Linked DNA regions of Cricetulus griseus. The protein of the gene in region 2 purifies or fractionates together with the protein of the main gene of each other region. This does not show direct contact. Links are inferred from orthologs where the notes say so. Each region holds a gene or a part of one and is shown on either strand. Other genes may lie near its edges.

Region 1 (10,475 bases), on a different chromosome or scaffold from region 2:
ACCAAGTTCTGGGTCCACCCCTGCATAAAACTGGGCCTGGTACCAAGAGAATCTAAAGCTCAAGGTCATTTTCATCTACACAGAAGTGTCTAGGCCCGCCTAGGACACAGGAATCTCCATCTCAATTAAAAGAACAGGACAAAAACCCTACATGAATCACAATGAGATCTGGAACAAAAAGCAGCAGCACACAAAGAAGGAGTCAGCAGCCCTTGCTGTCTTGTGCCAAAACGGGACCCTAAAGCAGCAGTCAGCCAAGCACACCAGCAACTTTAGTCCCGGCACTGGGGAGGCAGGGTCAGGCAGATCTCTGTGAGTCCAAGGCCAGCCTGACCTACATACATAATGAGACCCTGTTTTTAAAACAAACAAACAAACAAACAAACAAACAAACAAACAAGTTACTTTAGCTGGGTGGTGGCGGCACACACCTGTAGCCCCAACACTTGGGGAGGCAGAGGCTGGTGGATCTCTATGAGTTCAAGGCTAGCCTGGTCTACACAGTCACTTCCAGGACAGGCTCCATAGCCACTGAGACACTGTCCCAAAACGAAGCCAAAACAAAACAAAAACCTGTTACTTTCATAGTATTTTAAAAATTGTTAGAAAAAGATTGAGGCCAGCCTGGTCTACAGAGAGAGTTCCACACAGCCAGGGCTATTAATACAGAGAAACCCTGTATCAAAAAACAAAACAAAAAGGATCTCAAACCAAATAAACTTAGTAAATGTTTGCAACACTGTACACTTTCTCATGAACAACAAGTTATTTTCTACAAAACATACAAGCTATAGAAACTTCCCAAGAACCCTCTTTTCCTCCCAACTACCAAAGGGAAGTACCTCTTCCCACCTCACTGTTGCACACCACCCCTGCCAGCTGGCTGCTGCCACCATGTACACTTTAACTCTGGCTTCCTGAATGTGGGCAATTGGGATATGCCTAAAAAAGCTCTTAGCACTTGAGAGGCAGAGGCAGGCAGACAGATCTCAGTGAGTTTGAGGCCAGTCTGGTCTCCGAAGTGAGTTCCAGTACAGTCAGAGCTGTTACCCAGAGAAACCCTGAAGAAGAAAGAAGCAGCAGCAGCAGCAGCTCTAGCCAAAAATTTCAAGGATGCCTCTTGTTTTCTATGCCAAACACAAAGCAACACACTGAAAACAGCGTATTTAGCCTAAACCAGGTATTGGGCCATCACCTCTGCAAAGTCATCCTTCAGGTGGGAGGCAGGAGGGTCAAAGAGTCCAAGGTCATTCTCAACTACAAAGGGAGTGGAAAGGCAGCATTAGAATATGTCTTGAAAGAAAAAGGTTGAACCTATCCACAGCTGAACATAATTGGGCATCAGTACCTTGCCCATCTGATCCTATGAATTTCTCTTTAGGGCTCTTGGGTAAGCCCTAAAATTACTCACACCCTTCAAAAATGGAGGGGGAAACATCCACAGAACCTATGAAGGCATATCTTGCCTCCACCCTCCTGACACACAGTTATGACCTCAAGATGAAGACAAAAATTCCTTCCAAGCCAGGCGTTGGTGGCGCACGCCTTTAATCCCAGCCCTCAGGAGGCAAAGGCAGGCGGATCTCTGTGAGTTCAAGGCCAGCCTGGTCTCCAGAGCGAGTGCCAGGATAGGCTCCAAAGCTACACAGAGAAACCCTGTCTCGAAAAACCAAGAGAAAAAAAAAAAAGGATCTGCTTTCTTTAAGGGGCCTCTGTGGGGTTTCTGTAGCTCCAAGGCAGTCCCCACCTGGGCCTTTCTCCCTCATATTTTTAGACTGAGAAGTATACCAGCAGCCCCAGCATTAATCAATTAAAGCCTAGGATTGCCCTGCTACCCCACGTCCCCCAAGCAAAGGGGCAGTCAGACTCTGGGAGTCATCCTTGCCAAAGTGGGTTTTTAAAAAAGGCCCCAAAGTACCTGCAGATCATGAGGGAAGGGAGGGAGTCCTGCTCTGCCTTCCAGGTGAGGGATGGGGGGGACACACCTGTCCATGCTGGGAAGCACAGGAAGTCCCTGTTAGAATTATCTTGCTGTGGACTCTGCTCAGTTTTAAGATCTGCTTCAATACAGCCAAGCCCATGGTCCTCACTTATCTTTCCTATAGGACCTTAACTACAGGCTTCTGAACCTACAGAACAGGAGCACTGAATAGCCACACACAGATTTGGAGACTTTTAGGACTTCAGACTGTCTTCAGAAAGATGAGAATTGGCAAGCACTCTGTATTAACGCAGCCACTTCTCCTGACCTTCCTTTACAAAAACATACTTTTTAAAAAATGGGTTTTTCATGACAGGGTTTCTCTGTGTAACAGTCTTGGCTGTCCTGGAACTCACTGTGGAGACCAGGCTGGCCTCTAACTCACGGTCTGCCTCTGCCTCCCAAGTGCTGGGATTAAAGGTGTGCACCACCATGGCCATGGCCTGGCTAAGAAACACACTTCTTGCCCACTCAAGATGTGAAGCAATTACAAACACTTAGTACTCAAGAAAAATGCTAGAGGTTTCACGAAGAAAGTGCCCCAATTCCACGCACTCCCCCTTTAACCAATACAACAGAGCAGGAGGCCAGGCCAAACCCAGCTAGCCTATTTCCTATTTAAATCTGTTCTGCTTGAACATAGAGCTGGCAACGTGCTAACACCAGAATGTGCTATAGAGTAACAGACCTTCCATCAGAGTAGCTGACCACACAGGGACGGGGCTCAGGAGAAAGCTACTGCAGTTAGAGTGCTGCAAAGCACTAGTGTTTACCATCCAACCCCAATTTCCCATTATTTGTTTTGTCAGACAAGGTCTCTGTGGTCCAAGCTAGCCTTGACCTCCTGATTCCACCTAAGTGCCTGGGACTACAGGTTTATACCATGTCACTATTTAGCCTTGGGTGGCCTGGATGGAATTTATTCTGTAAACCAGGCTGGATTTGAAAGTGTTCCACCTGCTTCTGCTTCCCAGTACTGAGATTAAAAATGTGTCACCATGTCCAGGTTAAAATTTATCTTTAATCATCTGTCTGTACAAGTTACGACATGTATGTATGTATGACATGTATGTATCGGGGGGCCAGGTGTCTCATCTTCTAGAGCTGGAATAGCAGGCACTGAGCTGCCCCATGTGCTGGTAATTGAGCTTGGATCCTCTGGAAGAATAACATGCTCTTAACCATCTCTCCAGCCCTTGATTTTTTGAGACAGGGTCTCACTATGGATAGCTGGCTGGCATGGAATTTGGTGTGTAGACCAGGTTGGCCTCCCAGCTCACCGCTCTGGGATGAAGGAGTGTGCCACATGGCCACACCTCATTATTAAAGACCCTGTCCCATCTCGTTCATACAGCCCTCGCTTGCAAAGCCCTTTCTCAGCTCGTTCATAGCTCTTAAGTTTGGGAGTTCTTGAGGAAGGGTTCCAACTGTGAGACAGATATTGCTATCCAACACAGCCTGGCCTAGAATGTCTGCATTTCCGTGTCCCAGGCTCCAGAGTGTTGGGGCAGTAAGGTGCCCAACTACAAAAGAATCAATTATCAATTGGAAAAAATGCCTCATCAAGTGACAAATCTTATCTCCACCTTTTGGAATTAAACCCTGAATTTCATTTTACTATGTAGAGGTGTGCAAGTACACACTTGCTGGGAGCGTTTGGGGAGGGAGGGAAGCAGGCGAGAGTCTGGTTCTCCTCTCAAGTTCTTGTGGGTCCTGAGGATCAAATCAGGTCTTCGTGGTTAAGGGCAGAGCCACTAATTATCAGCTGAGCCATCTCTAGAGTCTATGAATTACTTAAATCTCACTCCCAGTGTTCAGAGATGACGGCCCTAAAGATGGTACACAAAGTAGAGAGAGCACAACACCACATTCTCTAATGGAGAAGCACACACATCCTCAACAGAAGGCTGTGGTTTTGTTAAGTTCACATACAGAAATAAGAAGAAACATATACTGTGCAACTAGCTTATTCTCAAAGCATTTAAATATAGTATCCTACTCTATTAAGTTCAAAAGAAAATAAAAAACCAGCCTGGACATGGTGGTAAAGTCTCCAATTCCAACACTTATAGGAGGCAGAGGCAGGCAGATCTCTGTAAATCTCAGGTTAGCCTTTGCTTGGTAGTGACACTCAGTCTCAAAATTTAAAAAGTAACATTCAAGAAACTATAGGGGCCCATCAATGGTGGCACACACCTTTAATCCCAGAGCTGAGTTCAAGGCCAGCCTGATCTATGTAGAAAAAAGCTGTCTTCAAACCTGTTCCCCCCATAAAAAAAAAAGAAAAAAGAAGGGGGGGCTGAGGTGATGGTTCAGCAGCCAAGAGCACTTGCTGCTCTTGGGGATAACCCTGGCTACGCTCCCAGCACAGATAGTGGCTCACAACCATCTAACTCCAGCCCCAGAGGACCCAATGCCCCTTTCTAACCTCCTTGGTTATAGGCATGCATGTGGTAAACACATACATATGAAGACAAAGCTTAAAACATAAAATCTAAAAACAAAAATTTTTAAAGGGGGAGAAAGGAAAGCTGATGAAGCAAGCCTACACAAAGATAAGAACAAACTACACACACCCAATTGTCCTCTAATCCCGGGTGCTGTGGCCTGGGTGCACTCACACACATCCCATGTGAAAAATAAATTTAAAAACAAAAGATGAGCCAAGTTTACTGCTAAAACTTTTTCAGCATAGTGTTAAACATAAAAAAAAAAAAAAAAAAAAAACACAACGAAATCTGAGCTGGGGATGCAGCCCAGGTGATGGAATGCTTACTCAGCGTGTAGGAAGAAGCCTTGGGTTCAATCCTCAGGACTTCATAACCCAGGCTTGGTGGCTTATAACTTCTAGTACTTGGGAGGAGGCACAAGGATCAGGAGTTCAAGGCCAGTTCTGGCTCTGTGGGACTTTATCTAGGGGAAATGATGATAAAAGCCTTTAATCCCCAGCACTCAGGAAGGGGAGGCAGAGGGATCTGAGAGTTTGAGGCTAGCCTGATCTACACACATCGAGCTCCAGGACAGCCAGGACTGCAGAGACCCTGTCTCAACAAAGCCAAAAACAAAAAAGACCCGATCTAAACAAAGCAATAAAATAAAGTATTAGGGGAGAAAATGCACAGATTAAAAAGACACTTTTTACTTTTCTTTCAATGACTCTGCAGCTGTTCACCACCACCACTCACGGCATGTTTCTTACACGCCAACAGTATTTTAGGCAAAAGCAGCAAAAGCCAGCTAGTTAATAACATTGTCAAGAACCCAATCAGCATTAGGTCGGGAATTGTGGGGAGTCCCTATGTCATATTAATCTCTCACCAACTAGGAACCCACTGCAGCGCCCCCCACCCACCCCGTCATAAGTCGGACAAAAGAAAAGATTTTTAACCTTCCCTTAGCCACTAGGCACGCATGCCCTGCGCTCCCACAGGGTGAACAGTGGAAGAGGGCAGGCAGGTCGTGTCTAGACCTTGGCTACCAGGGGTTTGAAGCGGGACTCGCCCTTGGTCAGGCGAGGTCTTTTAAGTTTCTTCCAAGATAACAGCACCTACCTGGCAGGGCGCTCGCTGAATGCAGCAGCGCGCCCCTCTCCTCGGGACAACAATCTGATGAGCAGAGAGCCACAGACACTGTCACCCCGGTCGCGGCTCGGCCCGTGTGCGGATGCACGTTCAAGGGGAAAGAGCGCCGGAGGGAGGATGGCTTTTTTTTGGGGGGGGGGGATGCAAGGGACGGGGCTCTCGTCGCCCCGGGACGTCGCCCCGCCAAGTCACACTGGGTCCTTGGACTCCAGATTTATCACAATGTGAGAGCAAGGGCAGGAGAGGCAGTAATAAAAACAAGGGGTCTGTCCCTAGACCCGGAGGCGCTGTGTGCGCGCCCCAGATCCAAGCGGCTTCCGAGGACCGGTCCCCACCGGGCCTGGTCCCACCGGCCCCGCCCGCCCGCCCGCCCGCGCGCCGCTCACCTTCCAGCAGCCGTTGGATGATGCTGTCGATGTTGAGTTTATCGATATCCGCCATCGCCGTCCTGCCGCCGACCCTCCCGCAGCGGCGCCGCCGCCGGCTCGCGCCCGGGCCTCACACGTCCTCCTTCCTCACGCCACGAGCCCCACGAGCGGTGGTGGCGGCGGCGGTGGCAGCAGCAGCCGCGGCGGGTCCCCCCCCCAGCCGCCCCGCTCCCGGCTTCCTCCTCCTCTCGCCACTGGAACCACGAGAAGAACAAAATGGCCGCCGACTCGTCAGGCCAGCCTCGGGCGGCGCACGGATGCGCGCGCGGGGAGTGCAGCGGCGGCCGGGACTTCAGGCCCATAGGGCGCGGGAGGGCGGGGCCGCTGCGGGAGGGGGCGGCCTTCGCGCTTCAGGGGCGGGGCCTGGCAGAGACGGTGAGACACCCATCCGCGCGCGGGATCCTTCCGCCAAACGGGCGGGGGGTGGGGGTGGGGGACGGGAGTGGAGGGTGGGGCGGGGAATAGACCCCCACCCCCACCCTCCACCCCCCCGCCCCCACCCCCACCCCCACCCCACCCCCCGCGGGAGAGTGAAGTTGCAAAGTTGGCGCGCGCGCGAGTTAAAGACGGGTATTGTCCGGCGGCTGCTCGTTGCTAGAGTTAAGATCTCCTCCCGGTGCTGCTGATTTGGGGCAGATGTCTGCAGACTCGGCGGGGTGGGAGCTCACCAGGGAGTCAGTCACCCACCCCTCGGAACCAATCTGGGTTGGAGATGTCCATGGAGGATCTTTAGGAGAAGGAAGTTGGAGGGTCGAGGATTCAAATATGCCGGCTCATATTGGTGAGCAAGAAGAGCTGTATGTATGACTCTGTGGTATGAACGCTTGTCTAGTATGTGTGAGACCCTGGGTTCAATCCCCAGCACTGCCAAGATTTCGTAATACTGCAATAAAGTATCTAAGATCCAGTATTTGAAAAAAAGAAAGCCTCCCCCAGATAAAAGAAACGTTAGTCCATTGTGAGTAGTGCATAATTCAGTAACTGTGTACCTCTTGCGTGCACTTCTGCAGTTTTACATTTTAGGGAGAGGTTGGGAGACTTTTGTAAGGTGTCACCTATCTTTAGATTATCTTTCTTGAACTCAGAAAGTTATATAATAACCGTGATGTTCTCCCCTGGATTTAGCCTGAGCTGGATTGAATGAGCGCACGGCAGCAGATAAGATGGGAATTTGCGGAGGAAAGCGAGTTAGAGGCTGCTGTGCGCCCCGGGCTTCAGCACATTCTACTGCTGCTTGCCTCTGGTTTCATCGCCTCCCCGAGGGCACCCTTCTCCAGGGAGCCCCCAACTGTGCTGCCTCTCAGGCTAACTGGATCTGAAAATGCACACCCACCTGACCCATTTCTCTCTCCAAGCAGCCCTTCACAGTTTACAAAAATCCTCTTCCCCACCCCCCACTCCAAAAGCTCATGATTCTCAAAGCAAAAGGGATGCACGGATTCCCTTCCGTGTGTTCCTAGCAAGGTGGCTTCCCCATCTGGAGATTCATTTTCACCAGGCCACAGCAGCATGGCATGGGGTGCACCCTTGCAGATCTCTGGCCTCCTTTCTGCTGCTGGCGCCAACGGTGGAGCTTCTGGAGTCATCCCAGCTCCCCTCAACTGCCTGCACCATTTTACTCAGTCACCAACTTACTCTCCCAAGCTATGTTTTTGCCTACCAGTCCCACAAGTGTCATTTGTCACTCCAAGGCACCTGGCTCAGTAGACATCTTGACGTCTGGGGCCTATGCCAAGCCCTGCTGTGAATATCTTGTTTGGCTCTCAAGGAGTTTCTGGGACTTGGGCTCCTCTGGGGCAGAGTGTATCTTCCCAATGACACTTTGGGGACAGGGATATAAGACGGTTCCCTAAGGAGACAAATATTTACAGAGTGCCTACTCTGTTCCTGAGTTTTTTCTAGGCGTGGAGCAGGGTGAACAAAACAGAGGAAGCCTTTCTTTCTGAGGAAATTCATATAGAGACACTGCACTCTCATTTGTATGAGCCAAAAATTGTCTCGTTGTGCGAGCCAGCTAAATGGCTCAGTGGGTAAAGGTGATTGCCACCAAGCCTGCCAGCCCCAATACCCTAATGAAGAGAGGTTGTCCTCTGACCACCAAGCAGACATATATACAAAATAAATAAAATGTAATAAAATATTTTAATAAAAAAATTACCTCCAGGCTGGGCATGGTTGTATATGCCTTTAATCCCAGCACCGGGAGGCAAAGGTAGGCATATCTTTGTGAGTTTGAGGCCAGCTGCAGGCTAGGCAAGGCTCCAGAACAAAATCTTGTGTCAAACAAAGCAGAATCACCTCGTTGAATCCCCAATACAATCCCAGAGATTATATATCCCCATCATTCCCATTTTACAGATAAAGCTAGGCATAGAAAGGCTAGAAGGTTTGTTGAAGGTCACACAGCTGGTAAATTCCAGGGATAGCCTGAATCCACAGTCTTTTGTTTAATTAAATCCCTAAATGGAGCCTCAGGAGCCCAACAAACTGTGGCACACACTGTGTGCATTACTATGGGGAAACCAATGGAATACTCTAAATTTTATGCCCACACTGTCATAATTCTCTAGATGCCAAGCAGTAGGTGTGTAGGTCACTCAATCCATGCTCGGATAAAGGAAAATAACAGTGAGCCAGTACAGGGGACAATTTTTTGTCTATCAAGCAACCTCAAGGGACAGTTCCCCTCCAGAGTCCATAACCATGCCAGCATCAGAGAATTGGCTCTCTTGAGAGTGGTGGAACCCATAGCTGTTAGAGAATGACCTTCAGCTACTCCTCCTCCTGCCTCCACCTCCAGAATGTTGAAATTCTAGGTATGGCTGCCAAACCTGCTCTATTCCATACTAGAAAGAGCCCATGCCAGGAGACCACTCTACCAATACCGCCACATCACAGTCCCTATAGGAAGTCTGAACATACAGATTTTTGTTTTGTTGTGTTTTGTTTTCTCTGTGTAACAGCCTTAGCTCTCCTGGAACTCACTCTGTAGACCAGGCTGGCCTGGAACTCACAGAGATCCACCTGCCTCTGCCTCCCAAGTGTTGGGATTAAAGGCGTGTCCCTGAGAACATACAGATTTTTTAAATCTATATTTAAATCAATAGATCTGTCTGGTCTACAGAGTGAGTTCCAAGACAGCCAGAGCTGTTGCACAAAGAAAACCCTCTTGAAACAATAAACAAAGTTGGAGACGGCTCAGCGGTTAAGAGCACTGGCTGCCCTTCCAGAGGTCTCAGGTTCAATTCCCAGCACCCACATGGCAGCTCACAAATTGTAACTCCAGTTCCAAGGGATCTGATGCCCTCACACAGACATGACTTCAGGCAAAACCACAATGTACATAAAATTAAATTGTTAAAAGGGAGTTGCTGGAGAGATGGGTCATTGGTTAAGAGCACAGGACTGCTTCCTTCCTGTGACTCTGCTTCCTGGCCACCATGCCGCCATGAGCAGGCTAAGGACCAACAAGGAAGATCCTGATAAGGAAGTGCAAAGTGGTGTGGCCTCCTAAGGAAGGATACTCTGATATCATCTGCTTGCCTCTAGCTCCCTCACTGGATCCTGAAGAGTGGCATGGACTCATAAACTAAGGAATCTCCCCCTCTCCCAGGAGAACATCCAGGCCCTTCCTGATAAGGCCACACCAAACTCCATTGGTAATTACAAATTTGAGACTGCAGGGTAACAAACCTGTGAACGGAATCTTTCACCCTAGAAGCTCCTCTTCCCATACCCACCCCCACCCCCCATGCACAAGACCCATTCCCCTAAGAGATCGCTGCCCTTGTTCACATTGAAGGTCGTTTTCTTATTTTGTTTTATTCCCTGCCTCCATCGGACCGATGTAACAGGGCCCTCGAGGCTCTCTGTCTTGTTACCATCCCTCAGGCTGTGGGATCTGACCCGCTTTGACTGGGAACTGCTCTACCCCTGAGCTCCACCTCCCACCCCATTTCACTGATTTACTGAAAAGCCACAGTCTCACAAAGTTGCCAGGCTGACCTTGAATTTGTAGTCTTCTGACCTCATCGTCCATAGCAGTTGGAATGACAGACCTACCCCACCTGATCAGACCTGATTGCTAAAATATCTTCACCAATGGCAAAGAAACCCTGTCCCATTACCAGTCACCTCCCATCTTCTACTCTATCTCCTGGTAACTTCCAATCTGTTTCCTTTCTGTTTTGGTCTATTCTGGACATTGAATTTCATATGCTAGGTGGCTGTTCCTATCTTGCTACTAAGCAGAAACCTCGACATGCACCAAAGCTATGTCCATTTGTGTGACATCCCTTCATTTGCTAGTTCACATCCTTTTTTAGAAGCATAGGAACCCACAGTCAGGAATTTTTTTTTTAAGATTTATTTTTATTTTATGTGCATGCACTTTGGCCTGCATGGAGGTCAGAAGAGGGAATTGGGTCCTCTAGAACTGGTGTGATAGATGGTTATGAGCCACCATGTGGGTGCTGGGAATCAAAC
Region 2 (10,496 bases):
GAAACCCTGTTTCAAAAAACCAACCAACAAACCAAACAAACAAAAAACCAAAACCTAAACCCAGAGCAGTTACTATAACAATTTGCAAATAATGTCTGCAGAACCTGTATCCACTACAAAGTAAGTTCCAGGACATCAAAGTTACACAGAAAAACCCTGTCTCAATGAAAAACAAGAGAGAATGTACAGCCACTGTAGGGAAATTTTTGTGATAAATAGTTTCCATTAAATGAATTATAAAGCTACAATTCATAGAAAAAAATTGAGAAAATTTGCAATTATAGGAAAAATAAAACTAAAAAATAGATAATTAATTTTTTCTTTTCAGATTCATTTATTTGAGGCTGGAGAGACAGCTCAGCAGTCAAGAGCATAGGCTGGTCCTGTAGGAGCCTGGGGTTCAATTCCCGGGATCCACATGCAGCTCACAACTGTCTGTAACTCCAGTTCAGGAGATCTGACACCATCACAGAGACATGTATGTGGGCAAAACACCAACACACATAAAAAATCTTTGAAACAAAGATCTATTTGTTATGTATGCAGTGTTTTGCCTGCATGTATGCTTGCACACCAGAAGAGGGCACCAGATCTCATTATAGATGTTTGCACCCCCAAGAGGTAGATAAATTTTTAGAAATGTTATACTGAAATCTGACTATGTAATATTTAATTCAAAGGACTTCTAAACTGTTTGAAAGTTATTTTCTAGCTGGGCTTTGGTGGCACACGCCTTTAATTCCAGCACCTGGGAGTCAGAGGCAGGCGAATCTCTGTGAGTTCCAGGCTAGCCTGGTCTACAGAGTGAGTGCCAGGACAGCCTCCAAAGCAATACAGAGAAACCCTGCTGGAAAAAACAAAAAGTACTTCCTTTATTTTTAAGATTTATTTATTATATGCAGTGTTCTGCCTGCATGTATGTCTGTGCACCAGATCTCATTATGGATGCTTGTGAGCCACCATGTGGTTCCTGGGAATTGAACTCAGGATGTCTAGAAGAGCAGACAGTGCTCTTAACCTCTTTGCCATCTCTCCAGCCCAGTATTTCCTTCTTTCTTTTTTAGGCTTTTAAAGTTTTATGCATGTAAGTGTCTGCCTGCATGTAAGTATGTGTGCTACATGTGTGCCTGTTACACCTCCATGTGGAGGTCAGAAGAGGACAACAGATCCTTCTGCAACTGGAGTGACAGAGATTATGAGCTGCCATTCAGGTGCTGGCAATTGAACCTGGCAAGAGCAGCCAGTGCCCTTAGCCAGGGCTAAGTCATCTCTCCAGCCCCCTTGAAAGACTTTCTTGGCAGTGTCTCAGAATACCCACTAGTTCTATGTATGAAGCAGGACTTCTTTACTATAATTCTGAAATTATTTTCATTTGCAATTAAGAAAGTTGCCGGAGGCAGGCGGATCTGTGAGTTCAAGGCCAGTCTGGTCTACAGAGCAAGTTCTGGGACCACAAGGCTGTCTTGAAAAGCCACAGAAAGAAAGAAGGAAAGAAAGAAAGGAAGGAAGGAAGGAAGGATTATTAACCAGAAATAGCCTATCTCAAAGCAGTTTGGAAACTGGCAAACTGATAAGGCTTTTGACATTCTTCTATTTCAAGGTAAAATTCACCTCAATATTTCAAAAACAGTCCTGTTAAAAACATTGCATCATAAGTCAGACAATTCCTCCCCTTTTCTATTTTCATACAGTATTTTGCACATAGCACAAGGAATTCAGATTTTCAAGATTACTAATCTAGTTTACCTTCAGGAATGCTATAATACCAATTCAGTCATCCTATGTAGATATCCTTTCCCTATATAGAATATTTCTACTTTAAGGTGCTATAATCTATAAGAAAGATATAGAAATCGCTTCTGGCTATTACCTCAATAAAAATCAAAAGTTACTTTTTGAAAAAACATCAGTCAATTTTTCTTTCTTTCAGAAAAGTTAAGAATGTAATTTCGGGGGCTGGAGAGATGTCTCAGAAGTTAGGAGCACTGGCTCTTCCAGAGGACCTGGATTCAATTCCCAGCACCCATATGGCAGCTCCCAACTGTCTGTGACTACAGTTCCAAGGAATCTAGCACCCTCAAACAGAAGGTAAAACACCAATTCATATAAAATAGAAATAAATTATTTTTAAAAAGAATGTAATTTTAATGAGTAAGAAACTAAAACACTGGGGCTGGAGAGGTGGCTCCAAAGTTAAGAGCACTTCACTGCTCTTCCCGATGCCCTGAGTTCAATTCCCAGCACCCTCTTCTGGTGTGCATGAAGACAGAGCACTCATATTCATAAAACACACACACAAATAAATAAATAAACTAAAACAACAACAAAAACCAAACAAACAAAACAGGCTGAGCACATCTAATCCCAGCATTTATGAGATGGAGGCAGTAAGATCAAGGCCTGTTCAAGGTCATCTTCAGATTACTCATGGAGTACAAAGCCAGTCTTCAAAAAACAAAAACAAAAACTTATTAAGCCTGTGATGGTGCATGCCCCTAATCACAGCACTTGGAGGCTGAGGCAGAAGGATATCTGGGAATTCATGGCCAGTGTGGAATACAGAGTGAATCTGAGGCTAGCCTGGACTACATAGCCAGAACTTGTCTCAAAAAAGAGGAGGAAGGACTGAGATGACTCTTAAATTGGCTTTATCCTCTCCAACACAAAAAGAATCGATGTCGGAGTTTACTTCGAAAAACATGTGAGGTTGGTAGTTAACCACAAACTACAGATGAGTTTCTGAATAAGCAGTTGTGTTTTCGTGGGATTTTTTTTTTTTTTTTGCAGAAACATACAAGTTGCATTTAAAGAAAAATTCCTATGACAACTAGTGTTTATCTCACATCCCTCTCTAACGTTACCTTTCCATTATTTACCCTCTATTTACCGGCTTCTATCATTTTTCATATGGCACGGCTTAGGTCTAAGGCGGGGAGGCGCAACTTTTTCCTTAGAATACTGAGACTGTTAACTTTCTCCTTCAGCAGTTCAGCCAGCCAGCTTTTATCTATCTGTTCTGGAACGAGGGGATACGCTTACCTATTGTGAGGTCGTGCACAGGCTGGAACCGCTTATCGGTGAACTGCAGGAGGAGACATGACTTCCCCACACCTGAAAACAGACAGTGCGGAGTAGGCACGCCACCCGGGAAACCGCGGGCTCCCAGGCGGGGCACAGGGTCTAAGGAAAAGACAGAGCCCCGCCCCCGGAGTTCGCCCCGCCCCCTCCGCGCCACTCCGCTCGCCCGGCCCACTCGTCCCGCCCCGCCCCCAGGCCGATTTTGGAGGTGGGATCCCCGCCCAAGCCCCGAAGGCGGTCCACCTGCGGGTTACCTGTGTCTCCGATGATGATGTACTTGAAGAGATAAGCGTAAGTCATGGTCCCGAGGCGTCTGTGTTCCGGTCCGCCTGATTTCTACAGCCACTTACCTCCGTCCTCTCTAGCCACTCACTCTACCGATCTCCTTATTTGCCTCCGCTCCAGCCCTTCTAGCTCAGGCCGCGTCTCTATTGCTCTCCCCAGAAATCCTCCCTGGATCCGGAGTACCCGACGCCGCCTCTAGGGCCGCCCCGCGCTCTTCTACATGCCATTATCCCACCAAGCTCCAGGGGGCGACAGCGAGCCTTCGGGCAGCTCGAATCGCGACTGGTTCGGCCAGGACTCCGTCCAATCAGCGGAGAGCGACGCTCCTCTTTGAGGAAGTGACGCGTTCGGAACCCAGTGGGTCCGGTGGGAGCGATGCGGACACTGGGACGCTGGTAGTGGTGCTGTGAAGATGGAGGTACGCGCGGGGGGTCTGGAGGGTTGACGAGCAGCGCGGCCGACTAGATGGAAGCAGAAGCGGGAAGCCGGACAGCGGGGAGCGAGGGGTGCTCGGGAGGGCTGGGAGGCCCGGGGTCCCCGCGCGCCCCTGCTTCGCTCACTTATCCCCGTGGCTTTTTATTTATTTATTTGTTTTTGGTTTACAGTTTCCCGGAGGAAATGACAATTACCTGACCATCACTGGGCCCTCGCATCCTTTCCTGTCAGGGGCCGAGGTGAGCAAAAGCTGCCGACGCTGGGGCGCGGGAGGGCCTAGGCAGCGGTTGGGGCCGGACGGTGGGGGAGAGCGCGGGGGCGGACGGGAGCTGGGGAGGACAGTGGCCGAGGCTTCGAGAGCCTCTGAGGACTCTGAGCGGTGCGGTGGGGGGACGAACGGGAAGCGTCTGTCATCAGAAAACCAGGATGTTGAAGAGCTTCACTGCCTGTTTAAGGAAGGAGTCCGGTTCTGAATGTGGAGAACGAGTGGGATTGTCTGCCCTGGTTCGGGTGAAGTAGTTGCAACAATCTTGGGAAGATAGCAAGGAAGAAATTTGTTTTTTTTTTTTTTTCAGTAAAGAAAACCTGATAAGAAAGTAGTTTATGTAGCAGGGGTTAACCTCGGACAGGTGTTAATTCTTGAACTCTGTAAGTGGTCTTTTAAACTTGAAATTTCTGATAAAAGTGGCTACTTTCACCAACGTGGTTTCTGCTCGCTTTGCTAATGAAGGATAGAAGGAAAGAAATAGCCGCCAGAGAACATAAAAAGAGTAGAGTATACCTTGTTTGCCAGTGAGTACAAACTTTGAGCAGATAACTTCACTTTTGGATCACAGTTGTCAAGTTAACTATAATAATAGGGTTTGTTTTGTTTTGCCTTTTTTTTTTTTCCTCCAAGCCAGGGTTTCCCTGTGTAGATTTGGTGCCAGTCCTAACACTCCCTCTGTAGACCAGGCAGGTCTTGAACTCTCAGAGATCCGCTTGCTTGTTTTGCTTTTTAAAGATGGTGTGAAGTAGAAATAATGATTGATGGAGACTGTAAGACAGCAATTCACAACCGGTGAGTCAGGACCCTTGGGGAGTCGAGTGACCCCTTCACAGGAGTTGCATGCCAGATATTTACATTGTGATTCATAACAGTTGCAAAATTACAGTGTGAAGTAGCAACAATATAATTTTATAGTTGGGGGGTCATCTCAACATGAGGAACTATATTAAAGGGTCACAGCATTTGGAAGGTATTCGTCATCTCTGGCAGTCTGCTAGTTTATTTTTTAATTTACAATTATTGAATGTTTTCCTAAACAAGGGAAAGTGTGATTCAAATGAATGGCAAAATTGGAAAGAAACTCAATCTTGAACTTGTTCCTTCCAAGTGAGGTTTAGTTTTATTGTTTGAAGTGCCATAAATCTCATTGTCATTATTCATAGGAAAATGCATTTAAAAAGCAAATACAAGCAATTACAAATGTAGTGTTACACACCTTTAATCCCAGCACTTGGGAGGCAGAGGCAGGTAGATCTCTTTTGAGTTTGAGGCCATCCTGGTCTACATAGTGAGTTCCAGAACTGCTAGAGCTACATAGAGAGATTCTGTCTCAAAAAAAAAAAAAAAAGTAAACACAGTTTTCAAATTCATCCCACCAGCCCTTTTTATGGAGTTGAATAGTCAAAAAGCAGTTACATGAGAGATGGCACCTTTTACATCCAGGGAGCTATGGCTGGATAGTGGAGCCTTCCACCTGCTGTGTTCCAGAACCTTGATCTACGGCACTGACCGAAAAAGGAAGGAAATTTCCAGGCTTTCATCAGCCCTTCATTTTTAGTGAGAGAAGGGGACGCACAACTAAATTTTTTTTTAAAGATTTATTTATTTATTTATTTATTTTATCTATTATGTATACAACATTCTGCTTCCATATATATCTGCACACCAGAAGAGGGCACCAGATCTCATTGTGAGCCACCATGTGGTTGCTGGGAATTGAACTCAGGACCTCTGGAAGAGCAGTTGATACTCTTAACCTCTGAGCCATCTCTCCAGCCCACACAACTAAATTTTAAGCTTAATTTCAGTAGCTTCCTTTAAGCCTAGGTACTGCTATTGGGTTTGTTTTTTTGTTTGTTTTGAGACAGGGTTTCTCTTTGTAGACCTGGCTGTCCTGGAACTCACTCTGTAGACCAGGTGAGCCTTGGACTCTTAGATCTGCCTGCCTCTGTCTTGAAAGTGCTGGGTTTAAAGACCAACACTGCCTGGCCTGTTAATTTACAACTCTTACTCCTTCTTATTTCTATCCCTCTTGTGGTGAATTTTTTTGTTTTGTTTTGTTTTTCGAGACAGGATTTCTCTGTGGCTTTGGAGGCTTGTCCTGGCCTACTAGCTTTTGTAGACCAGGCTACAGGAACTCACAGAGATCCACCTGCCTCTGCCTCCCGAGTGCTGGGACTAAAGGCATGTGCCACCACTGCCTGATAGTGGTGGTGAATTTTTAAATTATTTTGTTTTTGTTTTGAGGGGATGGTTTCACTATGTAGTCTTGACTTGAGTCAAACTCAATATGTGACCTGGCTGGCTTTTTATCTGCCTTTGCTTCCTGAATACTGGGATTAAAGGTGTCTTACACACCACCATGCCTGGCTTTTAATCTTTTTTTTTTTTTCTCAGAGTTTTTTTTTTTTTTTTTTTTTTTTTTTTGAATTAGAAACAAGATTGTTTTATATGGCAATCCCAGTTCCCTTCTCCCTCATCCTCCCTACCATGCTCCCCTCCCCAACTAAAACCCTACCTATCACATATCCTTTCTGCTCCTCCTGCATGGTGAGGCCTTCCATAGGGTGTCATCAGAGTTTATCGTATCCTTTGGGATAGGGCCTAGGCCCACCTGGCTTTTAATCTTTACATTAATGGGTGTAAAAGTTTTGTTGTCTTCGGTCTTACTTTGAGCCTTGTGAATAACTTAAAAGAGGGTGACTTTTTTTTTTTTTTTAAGCAATCCTTTTTTTGAAGAATGGTAGTTTTTCAAGTTGTTTTTTTCCAAAAAGAACAATAGCTGCTCATATAGGATACCAACCATAAAATAATTGAAAAATTCCATTGTGTTCAAGTTAGGAACTCTATATCAAAAGGCATCGTTATAGGGCTAGAGAGATGGATCAGCGGTTAAAGCACTGACTGTTGTTACAGAGTATCTGGATTCAGTTCCTAGCATCCACACGATAGGACAAAAAGGCCTGTAACTAGTTTTCACACCCTCTTCTGACCTCTGTAGGCACTGCACACATGCAGAACACAGGCATACATGCAGGCAAAACATTCATTTATATAAGTAAAAATAAGTATTGCTGCTTTTTTTTTTTTTTGATGGCATTGAGGCTAAAGATATTGCTGAGAAATTTAAAGCCTTTGTTGCTCTTACAGAGGACCCAGTTTTAATTTCCAGCATACACGTGGTGGTTCACAACCATCTATAACTTCAGTTCCAGGGGATTTGATTCTCTTTTCTAGCCTCTGTGAGCACTAGACACGAATATGGTGCTGATACATACCCATACATATAAACTAAATCAAAAGGAGTGATGGCAAAAGCCTTTAACTCCAGCACTTTTCAAGGCAGAAGCAGGCAGCTATCTGTGAATTCAAGGCCAGCCTGGTCTTCAAATTGAGTTCCAGGACAGCCAGGACTGTTATGCAGAGAAACTCTTGTCTTAGAACCTCCTCCCAAAAAAAGACATTATAACTACATGTATGAAATTTGTGTTTATAAATAAATTATAATTACATGTACAGAATTTCATATATGAAATTCTGAAAAAAATTAGAAAAGATATCATTAACAAATAGGAGCTCTAGAAGAGAAGATATTTATAATACTCACATGTAAGTCATATTTAGAATATATGAAGCACTAGTACAGTTTGAAAATGAACACGTTTGGTTTTTTTTTATAATCTATTTTTATTTCTTGTACATTGGTGTTTTACCTGAGTGTATGTCTGTGTGAGGGTGTCAGGTTCCCTGAAACTGGCGTTACAGCTGTGAGCTGAATTGAACCTAGGTCCTCTGGAAGAGCAGTCAGTGCTCTTAACTGCTGAACTATCTCTCAGTCCCGAAAATGAACAGAAATTTCAACAGTCAATTCACAAAGAGTCCATCCAAACTGCCACTAGGTATATGAAAATTTTCCATTTAAAAGAATGAGGAGTGTCAGCGGGGCCGTGGTGGCACATGCCTTTAATCCTAGCACTTGGGAGGCAGAGGCAGGTGGATCTTTGTGAGTTTGAGGCCAGCCTGGTCTTCAAAGAGAGTTCCAGGACAGTCTCCAACCCTACAGAGAAACCCTGCCTTGAAAAACCAAAAAAAAAAAAAGTGTCAGAGAGAAAGGAGTAGTATTATTGCACTGCTTCAGATAGGAAGCTTGTGTATTTGCAGATTTAGTCTTCTGTTTCTCTCCGTTTGGTTGGCTCATAGTGCTTTGTATGTGACCACTACTTTTAATCCCAGAACTCAGGAGGTTGGGAGGGGGGCAGTTCTCTGCCTTCCAGGCCAGCTAGTCTATTTCTGTTATATCAGATTTTCTTTTCAGTTTCATTGTTGGCTCTTATGAGATAGGGTCTCATCTAGCCAAGGCTGGCCTCCAATTCCCCATGTAGCTGAAGGTGATGCTGACTTTCCTAACCCTTTGGTTTCTACCTTCCAGTTCAGTGGTTCTTTAACCTGTGGGTCTCAACCCCTTTGGGGGTTGAACAACCCTTTTACAGTTCATAACAGCAAAATTACAAAGTAGCAATGAAGATAATTTTATGGTTGGGGTCACCACACAGGAGGAACTGTATTAAAGGATTGCAGCATTAGGAAGGTTGAGGACCACTGTTCTAAGTGCTGGGATTGTAAGTGTGCATCGTCACACCTAGTGTACTGTGTTGTTGTTGTTAGTTAGTTGTTTTTTTTTAATTATTTTATGTGCATTGGTGTTTTACCTGCATATATGTCTGTGAGGGTCCCCTGGAACTGGAGTTATAGACAGCTGTGAGCTGCCATGTGTGTACTGGGAATTGAACCTGGGTTCTCTAAAGAGCAGTCAGTGCTCTCAACTACTGAGCCATTTCCAGCCCTGTATTCTATTTTTAAAAATAAAGTTTTTTCAGGACAGGGTTTCTCTGTATAGCTTTGGGGACTGTCCTGGAACTCTCTCTGTAGACCAGGCTGTCCTCAAACTCACCTGCCTGCTTCTCTGCCTCCCAAGTGCTAGGACTAAAGATAGTGACTCCACTGCCCGGCTTTAAAAATAATTTTAAGGATCCATAATAACTACATTATAGGATAAATTAGGTGTTAATGTCAATTTCTTTAAAATGAATATACAAGAAATTTTTTTTAATTAAAATTTTTATATGTATGGGTATTGTGCCTGCAAGTATGTCTGTGTACAACACACTTGGTGCCCATGGAGGTCAGAAGAGGATATGAGATCTCTTGGGACTAGAGTTAAACAAAGTTGTAAGCTACCATGTAGGTGCTGGGAATAGACCCTAGATCCTCTGGAAGAGCAGCCAGTGTTCTTAACCACTGAGCTATCACTTTTATCTCCAGTAAAGTGTTTTTTTTTAAATACTGGATGGTTAATATATGGATCAGTTTAGAGTATAGTATATGGCAGGCTCTGGGTACAAGCCTCAGGGCAAATGAAAGATGATAGAAAACAGAGATCGGATGAGAAGAGGTGGGAAATGGTAGTTTTCATGTTTGTTTCTCAAAGTCATTTGAGTGTATGTATGTATGTGTGCATGCAGAGGACAGAAGGCGTTTGAACCCCTGGAGCTAGAGTTAAATAAAGGTGGTTGTGAGCCACCAGAGTGGGTGGTGAAAACTGAGCCCCAGTCCTCTTCAGAAGCAGCAAATGCTCCTAAGTGCTGAGTCATCTCTCCTGCCCCTCCTTCACTCAGTATCTAAGCATCCTTTATTATTATTTTAATTGCATTACATTTTATTTACTATGTGAGTTCTCTTTCTTTCCCTCCCCTTCCTCCCTCTTTCCTCTCTTCTGCTCTCCCAAAAGGGTTAGAGGTGGGAAGTGGGTCCTCTTCCTTTACCATTGTTTTCTTGAAATAGGGTCTTTACTGGATTTATGGCCTGATACTAATTATATAGCCAGCCTGGCCTGATAGTTATGGTAATCTTCGTGGCTCAGTCTCCTGCACACTGAGATTATAGTGTGCACCACTTTGCCAGACTACAATCTCTTTTTTTATAGATAAGGAAAACCTGCTCAAGGTTATAAGCTGAGAGTTCTTTCTACAAAGCCTCTCACTTATTACTTATAACACTTCGTTGCTACAAATGCTTTTGTTATAGTTTTTTAGTGCCACAGGAAACTGTCAAATACATCTTAAGTTAGACACTGCTGTTAGTTCTATGAATAGTGGCCCCATTCCTAATAGGAGGAGTGAAGCTGGGTGTGGTGGTACACACTTTTGATTCCAGCAGTCAGGAGGCTTGCCAGGTTTTGAAAGAAAGGAAGGAAAGTAAGAAAGAAAAGGGGGGAGAAAAAAATACAACAAACTGGAAGACTGATTATTGTTAGACTTAAGAGGGGTCAACTGGGCCAGGTGCACTAATATTTTCTCCTTTTATTTCCTTTTTTTTTTTTTTTTTTAGGCAAGGTGTTGCTATGTAAGCTAGGCTGGCTTCAGATTCACTT

The links. Proteins that work in one complex are often made in the same cells at the same time.
Region 1: the proteins of Tox4 (region 2) and Ppp1cc purify together in Homo sapiens (affinity purification with mass spectrometry; 4 studies listed by BioGRID and IntAct, with this or other methods). This does not show direct contact. The link is inferred for Cricetulus griseus from reciprocal best matches to the Homo sapiens genes TOX4 and PPP1CC.

What each region holds. Positions count from the first base shown.
Region 1 is NC_048597.1:102,005,097-102,015,571, reverse strand, and holds the start of Ppp1cc (serine/threonine-protein phosphatase PP1-gamma catalytic subunit), read right to left. Parts: upstream 6,226-10,475; 5' UTR 6,004-6,225; coding exon 5,949-6,003; intron 1-5,948. UniProt on the Homo sapiens protein: Protein phosphatase that associates with over 200 regulatory proteins to form highly specific holoenzymes which dephosphorylate hundreds of biological targets.
Region 2 is NW_023276807.1:207,374,233-207,384,728, forward strand, and holds the start of Tox4 (TOX high mobility group box family member 4), read left to right. Parts: upstream 1-3,638; 5' UTR 3,639-3,775; coding exon 3,776-3,781; intron 3,782-3,968; coding exon 3,969-4,037; intron 4,038-10,496. Other genes in the region: Rab2b (ras-related protein Rab-2B), read right to left, coding at 3,040-3,111, 3,333-3,378. UniProt on the Homo sapiens protein: Transcription factor that modulates cell fate reprogramming from the somatic state to the pluripotent and neuronal fate. In liver, controls the expression of hormone-regulated gluconeogenic genes such as G6PC1 and PCK1.